2 linked regions of the Coturnix japonica genome follow. The protein of the gene in region 1 purifies or fractionates together with the protein of each later gene. This does not show direct contact. Links are inferred from orthologs where the notes say so. Each region holds a gene or a part of one and is shown on either strand. Other genes may lie near its edges. The genes, in order: TWF2 and CAPZB.

Region 1 (4,499 bases):
CCCCCTGCCATGTGCAGGGTCACCAACCAGCAGCCCAGGCTGCCCAGAGCCACATCCAGCCTGGCCTTGAATGCCTGCAGGGATGGGGCATCCACAGCCTCCTTGGGCAACCTGTTCCAGTGCGTCACCACCCTCTGGGTGAAAAACTTCCTCCTAAGATCCAACCTAAACCTCCCCGTCTCAGTTTAAAACCATTCCCCCTTGTTCTATCACTATCCAACCTTGTAAACAGCCATTCCCCCTCCTGTTTATACACTCCCTTCAAGTATTGGAAGGCCACAATGAGGTCTTCCTGGAGCCTTCTCTTCTCAAAGCTAAACAAACCCAGTTCTTTCAACCTTTTGATGTTGGGCTCTATTCTGAAGGAGGATTTCATGTCACTGAATCTCAGCCCACAACACACATCTGCACATCCTTGTCTGGGTACCTCCAGCCACTCATCCCATGAGCCATTTGCTTCCATGTGCCTGCTTGGAAACCATCTCCCCCCTATCCTGACACCTCCAATCAGTCTCACTCTGGGTATCAGACCAGCAGTGGTCTCATTGCATTTAGAAGCTTTCAACACTCTCTTTCCAAGGGACTTCCTCTTCTCCACTACTTTAAGAGGCTTTTCTTATTTGCACATCCTCAAAATTACAGCTCGAGTGCAACTTCTGCAAGGGTCAGAGCCTGCCTCTGTGCATTCTGAGTCATGGGGCTGTTTGCTTTGTGTTTTGCATATGCCCAGGGCACGTCTGCTCTTTGCTGTAAAGTGAGGCCAGGAACCAGAGCACTGATGCCCAGGCTGGAAGCAGCAATCGTTACCCACAGATGGGGATCAGCTCCTCCAGGCCAGCCCTGCAGCAGCTCCCTGCACAGACAACAGCAGCAGGGAGGTTTTCATTTCCCCTCCCATCTCTCAGCAGAAACCCCATCACCAGCACTCCTCTATTGCCTGCAGAGTGCACCTACAGCCAAGGAATCACAGAATCTCTATGGTTGGCAAAGACCTCTAAGATCACTAAGTCCCCCCATCTACCCTCCCCCCTACCTGCTCATGTCCCTCAGTGCCACATCCCCATGGTTTTGGAACACCTGCATGGATGCTGACCCCCCCAGTCCATCCAATAGGGCCATCTTCCTACTGGAGCTTCCTTCTCATTAGAGTCAACCTCAGAGCAGAGCCAGCAGCTCCCAATGGGGATGTGCAGGGGGCAGCTCAGCAGCCACAACACCGCTATCCCCCCCCCCACTTCCTGCTCCTTCTTCACCTCTCACTTCATTCTTACCCATGCAAGTCACATCCTAGATGGAAAAAACCCTTTGAGACACGTTTTCAACCCCACATTCCTGCCACCAACCACCACCATCACCTCCCTCTCCCTGGGACCCTTCATCTTCTTCCCCAAAGTCAGCTCACACAGTGTGATGCTCCTCCCCCCATGCCCGGCACTCGCCTGCTTCCTGCTGCTCGGGGAAAGGAGGTCAGCCGACTTTCCAAGGCACCCACAGCCAGCCTTCCCATCACTGCTTAGATCAAATTCTCCCTTCTGAGCTACCACCGTGAGTCAGGCTGCCAGCTGAGGCTGGGTGGGTTACCCACAACACATGAAGATGGTTAGCAAACAGCTCAGGCACTCCCAGAGGGGGGAGGAAGCAGCAGCAGCGTTGCTGTGCTCATCTTAGAGTGAATCAGCTCGTTGACAGGGGAAGGAATCATGGTGACCAATGTGCCAGGGCTGGGGAGAATGAAGGACCCCTTGATACGCCCAGCCAGCAGCTTCCAAGCAGTTTGGGAAGGGGATGAGATTGCCTTGCTGGGGCTGGCATGGGTCAAGAGTAAGAGTGGTGGTGCCAATGCCTCTCTTCCACCTCTGTTTCAAGCACCAGGACACAGCAAACTCAGCCACAGCATTGCACCCTGCCTGCACTAAGAGCTCAGAGTGCTGTGCCCGCTGATTTGGTTCTGGTTTTGTTGTTGTTGCAATTGGAGGAAAGCACAAAGAGGTCCTGAGCTTCAATGTGGCAGCCGAAGGCTTGGAAGCAATGAATGAGAACCCAAGGGCTGAAGGCCACCAGCACTGCCAGGCCAAGCAGGAGCAGCATCTGAGCATTAAACCACATCCCAACTGCTGCTCCGTGAGCACCCAAAGGGAAGGATGCTCCTGGCCATCCTGTAGCCAAGGGAACAATGTGCTGTGAAGGAACAGTGGCCATAAATTCACCCTAAATTCTCCATGCTCCCAGAGAGGCATTAGCCACGAGGGAGGCACAGCGAGCTGGCACAGCTCGCCCAGCATAGCCCAGGGCCGGCATCTTTCCCACCTCTGCTCGCATATCAATTGGGTTCCATCAATTATGCAGTGCCTCCGGTCCTGATTAACGCTGCTCACGGAGGTGTCAGGTGAGAGAGGGGGGAAACGCCACGGAGATGCACACCGTGCCCCCCCCCAAACCTTGGGGCTGCCTCTGGGGGTCCCCATACACATCCTTCCCCCTAAGCCGGCCTTCTTCCAACACGGCAATTCCATAGGCAGCACGACCGGCGTTGGTTCTGCTTACAACGCAGCCCTGCGGCGGCCGGCAGCACGCACAGCGGTGGGCTCGCACCGCTCCCACCCTTCTCCCAGCTGGATTTTGGGCTCCCAGCGGGGCTGCACCGCTCTGCCCGGTGCTGGATCGCAGGGGAAGGCCCCGCAGGCTGCGCAGACCCCATCGCGTAACGGAGCGATGTAAGGCACCTTAACAGCACCGAGCCGCGTTCGGGCATCGCGAGGAGACAAAGGATGCGCGAACCCCCGCAGCACCGCGCTCCGATCGGCCGCGCTCCCCCCGACCCGCTCCGGCAGCACAACCCGCGGTGCTCGCCCCGCACAGCCCGGAACGAGCGGCGGGACCCGACGGTTCGTCCCGGCCCAACGTACCGTGGATGCCGGTCTGGTGCGTCATGGCTCCGCTCCGCTCCGCAACGTCCCGGGCAGGAAACGGCACCGCCGCCCGCACCGACGCTTCCGGAGCCGGCACCGGGCGGAGCCGCCGCCCGCACCGCCCCCGGGAGGAGCCGGACCCGGAGCCGCGCCCGGTTCGTGCGGGGGGAGCCCGCGGGGTTCCATGTCCGTCGAGTGGTTGCGGCGGCTGCGGCGGGGCGGCCCCGCGGAACAACGGCCCGGAGGTGCCCAGGAGTCGGTACCGCGCTCCCCGCAGCCCAACCCGCCGCTGTACCGCCGGCCCAAGTTCCTTCGGGGCGGAGAGGAGAGTCCGAGGGGCGGCAGGGCCGTGCGGGGCACCGGGCCGGAGCGGCCGCTGCCGTGGAGTTCGGGTTATGCCGAGTGAGTGCGGGGCTGGGGGTGCGTGGGGTTACGGAGCTGCGGGCGGGGAGAGGAACCCCCGGGGCGTTGGGCAGGGCTGGACGCGGTGAGCCCCTGCCCCGGTGCGTTCCTTGCGCCGTGGAGGCAGCGGTGGGCAGCAAACCCTCTGTTCTTCGGTATAGGGAGCCCGCGTGTCCCCAGGAGATGAGCTGCAGGGAGCACAGTGATAGCAAAGGGAAAAACACAACCCTGTAAATCTCTGTTTGTCTCGGTTATGGGAATAGGGATGTTGTAGTGGGACCACTCTGTGACCTGGGGGCTGTGGGATTGCAATGTGCAGGAGGTGAGCTAAGCAGGGATAGAAGGGCCCAGCATTAAGGCCACAAGGAGCCCTGTCACCAGCCTGGCACAGCTGCCAGCAGGAGCTGATGGAGGCAGGGGTGCCCCATCACAGCTCTTTCCCCATAACTCACTGTATCCCAGGTGAAGCTTTTTCCCACTGCCGTGAAGGACGCGATGTTTAGATTCCCAACCAAGAGATCCTTGACTTTGAGAAGGGAGCAAGTGAGCACGGAGCTGGAAGGAAGGCCAAGGGCTCAGTCCCATGTTGGCCAGGCAGTGCTTCACCACTCAGCTGGAGTGTTTGCACCTGCAGGGTTATCAATGCTGAGAAGTCAGAGTTCAATGAGGACCAGGCGGCGTGCTGCCAGATCTCTGTGCGCAGGAGGGAGCCAGGACTGGAGGAAGACCAGGAGTGGCTGATCCTGTGCTCCACGCAGGTACGGCCCCTCTCTGAGTTCCCCCAGGTGCCTCCAAGGGGTTCCTCCATCAGCTGGGCTGGAAGAGCCGGGCAGAACACGTTCAGCACGTCCTGAGTGTGAGCTGCCATCTGCATGGCTCCTCTCTGCCTCTTTTGGCTGCTTAATCTCTCTTCTCCCTTGCAGTTTTTGACTGGTTACTACTGGGCACTCTTCGATGGCCACGGTGGCCCAGAAGCTGCCATCATTGCTTCCAACTACCTGCACTACTGCATCAAGCAGAAGCTGGAGGAGGTCGTGGGGGCCATCACAGAGGCCCATCCCCCCATGCACTTGAGCGGGCGCTGTGTTTGTGACAGTGACCCCCAGTTCGTGGAGGAGAAGCACGTCCACGCAGAAGATGTGGTGGTGGGAGCCCTGGAAAACGCCTTCCAGGAATGTGTGAGTTCTC
Region 2 (3,805 bases), on another chromosome or scaffold:
CCCATACCTCCAGATGTAAATAAACTCCAGGTTTGGAGCCAACGTCTTCCTCAGTGGACTGGCACTTCCTCACAATGCTCACCCAGGCTTAGTAAACACAGACGGGTTCTTTGTGCACAGCAGGAGCTCAGCAAGGCACCTGTTGGCCTTGCTCTTAAGGAGGGGGGCTCCAGAAAGCTGTTCAACAAAGTGCACATTTGATTGTTTGCCAGAAAGCTGGAAGGTTTCTTTCTACTTTGCATAAAATGAAACAGGACCATAGAATTGCTCTGAGTGAAATTAAAGCGCAGCCTGATGCAAGCACAAAGCATGGTCAAAGCAGCACGGTACCGTGGTGGACAGCACAAGTAATTGCAACACACACTGAGGATGGGACCTTAATGTCTGTCAGACAGAGAATCATGTGCCAAGCATCTGGCTCGAATCAGGATGGGGTGGGAGCTACCTGCTGCCATTGGAGTGTGTGCATGGTAACCAAAAAGCTGCTGGCATTTTTCATTCCCCTGTAAGCACCACTCCTTGTTGCAAACCGAAGGCGGTGTGTCCTGTCCTTTCCTCTCCTCTCAGACGTACAGCACTTCAATCTGTGGCCCCTCATTGACGCAGACAGCACAGAACATGCCGAGTTCCTTTCCAAATTCCAGCCTCGCTCCCTGTATTTATTGAAGCCTGCCAGTGTCAGATGTGAGCTGGGAGCTGCTTCCTCCATCCTGGCTGTGGTGCAGCAGCTCTGCGCTCTCTTGAACAGCATCCAGGCTTGTCCCCAGAACACAAGCTGCCTGGAGAGCACTCTAGTTGCAGGAACAGGCCTCTATCTGACTTTTCTTGCCTTCTGGGGCAAGACAGTAGCAATGGATATTGAATGTACAAAGCGAAAGCCTGAAGTTCTCATTTAGAAAACCATCAGGCTAAGTGAAGCTACACAAAGAGCTTCAGCCTCCCAAACCAGGACAAGCTCCTCAGTGTCTCACATCTCTCCCTCCTTATTCTGTCTACTTACAAACATAAAATGCTCTAGTCTCCCATTCCAAACAAAGAGACAAAACTAAAGGAGACACAGGACAGGGAAATGACTTCTGAGTAATAACTACCCAGAACAGAACTTGACATGGCCCCAGGTCAGGTATAATACTGAGATACACAGCATCTGGGGACAAGGCAGAGGAAAAAAAGGTTTTAGTCTTAAGAAATCTCTGCAACATTCAAGAAGAGCCTAAACAGGAGGATTTTAGGCTCTTACTTTCATATCCTTCCACAGTACCGTGCTGTCCGCTCATAGAACAAACAGGACTGCCTGACTGCTTGCACCCTGTGTCATCTGCAAACATCAGGACGGGGAATTACTGAGCAAGTGTTTCCATTTGAAGCTACAAATGCTCCCCATAGCATTTCAATGCGAGCCATGCCCAGCTCTTGGAAGCTGCCAGAGGTGGTGAATTAGGAGGCATTACATGAGCTGTTCCTTTGCGCCTGCTGCTGGCCACCAACTTAATCATTCCAGTCATCACTCGAAAAATACCCGATTTGCAGCTCGGAGGTGAAACTGGTTTCAAAGTAATGGCTCTCAACAGACTTCCCTTTCCAAGCACTGAAAGGTTCTCCCTGCCATCAGCATTTAAGCCAGGATATTACGAAACTTGTGAACACTTCAAAAGCCTGCACTGAAACACAAGGACATCTGCTGTTTGCATTTTAGGATCAAAGGTGGTCAAGTAGCTTCAATGTTGAGTTGACCAAAAACATGAACAATCTACTCTAGATAAAGGCACTTTGTAATGACGGTCAGAACAGCTTACTGATGCTGTCAGACAGTGACGTGTCATTCACATGATAACTACAACCTACTGTCAGTGTATGAGCTCACTGTAGACTGTATGAAAAGCCCAGCAAGAAGCAAAAATAGAACTGCTGTCCCATTAAGCGTATGGTGGCATCTGCAAAGCAGAGCTCTCCAGCCCAAAGCTAAATGCTAAAACTCAAGTTTCCATTGTTTGTGCAGGAGCAGTGCATCATTACCCCAGTGGCTCCTTTATGGTTACTTACATTGGAAGCAGGCCCCTGCTTTAATGCATCACATATGAATTAAATGATCTGCTGTTCAAATGATGACAGAAGCATGAATCTCCTCGCTAAAGCTGAGAGAGTGAAAGTCAAACTAAACAAGGCCTAGGAGTTCAGGCCAAGGTGTACTGAGGACACCCATCCTCAACAGACTCTTGTTTTCCTTGGCATATCTCTCACACACCATAAGTCCATGGCCAGAGTCAAGCCCTTGGCGTCCACTTCACAGCTATGATTTAAAGTATTAGGAAGGCCTGTGATTAAATATTTGTCCGGGTCACCATAACTCGAGTGTAATTACTGCAAACATTCTAAAAGAGTACGCAATGCTCAAAAACCATCTCCAGATGCTTCTTTTTCCCCTTCCTGTTATTTCTCCTATCAGTTTCTTCTGTAAGTCAACAAGGTGGAAAGAAAAATCACCCAGGTCTAGGGCAAGCTTCCATGTCTGCAAGAGTAACACAATTCAGTTCCTCCCGATGATCGTAGACCCTTTGTTCCCTTGCCTGACTCAAACCTGTACAAAACCACAGGCTACTTAACAGAGTCTGCATTGTCCTTTGTATCGAAAGCAACAGGCTGCCCTGGGAAGTCTCATAAAGGAGTTTTAGCAACTGCCAATCTCTCTAGTCACTCATGACCACACAATATGCCTCCTGTCCCCTGAGTTTATTACTCTTTTCGTGTCACTGACTTCCACAACCCAGATCTTAAACAACCCCAATTCATGCAGTACAGAGACAGCAACCTCTGGCAGGTGGCTGGGGCAGAGGCACCTTCAGGCAATGCACTCAGCTCTGCCAGAGCCTTTGACAGCAGTGCAGCCTAACAGTCACCATTCTGGCACCTTCCCTCTGAGAAATGGCTTTCTCAAGGGGAAGCCAAAGCAATTTGAGCTGGAATAAAAAGCAAATGCTTAGAAGACATGTCATTTTTTATCACTGTCCTGGTACTGCAGGACTAAAACACTAAAGAAGGATACAGGCAAATACTGAAAGCCTTTAAGAACAGAAGAACTGAAGGTCTAAGCACAATACAGGGCTGGTTGCAGTGGCCACAAATTAAAGACTTAAATGAACATCTAACCTCCTGCTGAATGTTTTGTATTTCTAATTGAAAGTTACACTGCCATCAAGCCAAATTCAAGGGGCTTCCTGGTAACCACACACTTGTGCCTTATATTCTTCAATGGAGTGCACATGCAGCACGAGAACAGACGTTGATCCAACACCTCACAAAATAAGCTTTCTGTTCCTGACTGAGGCTACCGGGTATATAAATAAGGAAAGGCATGCAGGGTCTGCAATGTGCACCGGCGCAGTATGCAGGCGTACCTGTCTGGTAAGGCTCCCGCCAAGGTTCATGGTACCAGAACCAGTTTTATTAGTCTGCAGCCACAGCATCACTGTGGAGGTCAGCTTGTAATGAGCAGTACGGCCGCTGGATTTCTCCTGCAAAAGGGAGGAAAAAGGAAAAACACAAAAGGTTACAAACCCTCCAGATACTACACAAGGTGGCTGAGCACAGAGGCTCCACGAGTAAAAGGACAGATGCATGTAACTGCAGTTACAGGGCACAGCCTGCCTATTAAAAACAAGCACAAGTTTGCCTATTTTCCCAGTTCTCCAAAAGCAAAATCTTGCTGGAGCAATTTAACCTCCCGTTACCTCGTTTTTATTACCTAATTAGTGATATTTATCTGTAAACCTTTATGTTTCTTAAGAGGGGGGAAAAAAATCATCTC

What was found.
Region 2: the proteins of TWF2 (region 1) and CAPZB purify together in Homo sapiens (co-immunoprecipitation; 3 studies listed by BioGRID and IntAct, with this or other methods). This does not show direct contact. The link is inferred for Coturnix japonica from reciprocal best matches to the Homo sapiens genes TWF2 and CAPZB.

Annotation. Positions count from the first base shown.
Region 1 is NC_029527.1:1,796,593-1,801,091, forward strand, and holds the start of TWF2 (twinfilin-2), read right to left. Parts: upstream 3,038-4,499; 5' UTR 2,932-3,037; coding exon 2,907-2,931; intron 1-2,906. Other genes in the region: PPM1M (protein phosphatase 1M), read left to right, coding at 3,094-3,311, 3,946-4,069, 4,235-4,489. UniProt on the Homo sapiens protein: Actin-binding protein involved in motile and morphological processes. Inhibits actin polymerization, likely by sequestering G-actin. By capping the barbed ends of filaments, it also regulates motility.
Region 2 is NC_029536.1:4,083,801-4,087,605, forward strand, and holds part of CAPZB (F-actin-capping protein subunit beta), read right to left. Parts: intron 3,513-3,805; coding exon 3,396-3,512; intron 1-3,395. UniProt on the Homo sapiens protein: F-actin-capping proteins bind in a Ca(2+)-independent manner to the fast growing ends of actin filaments (barbed end) thereby blocking the exchange of subunits at these ends.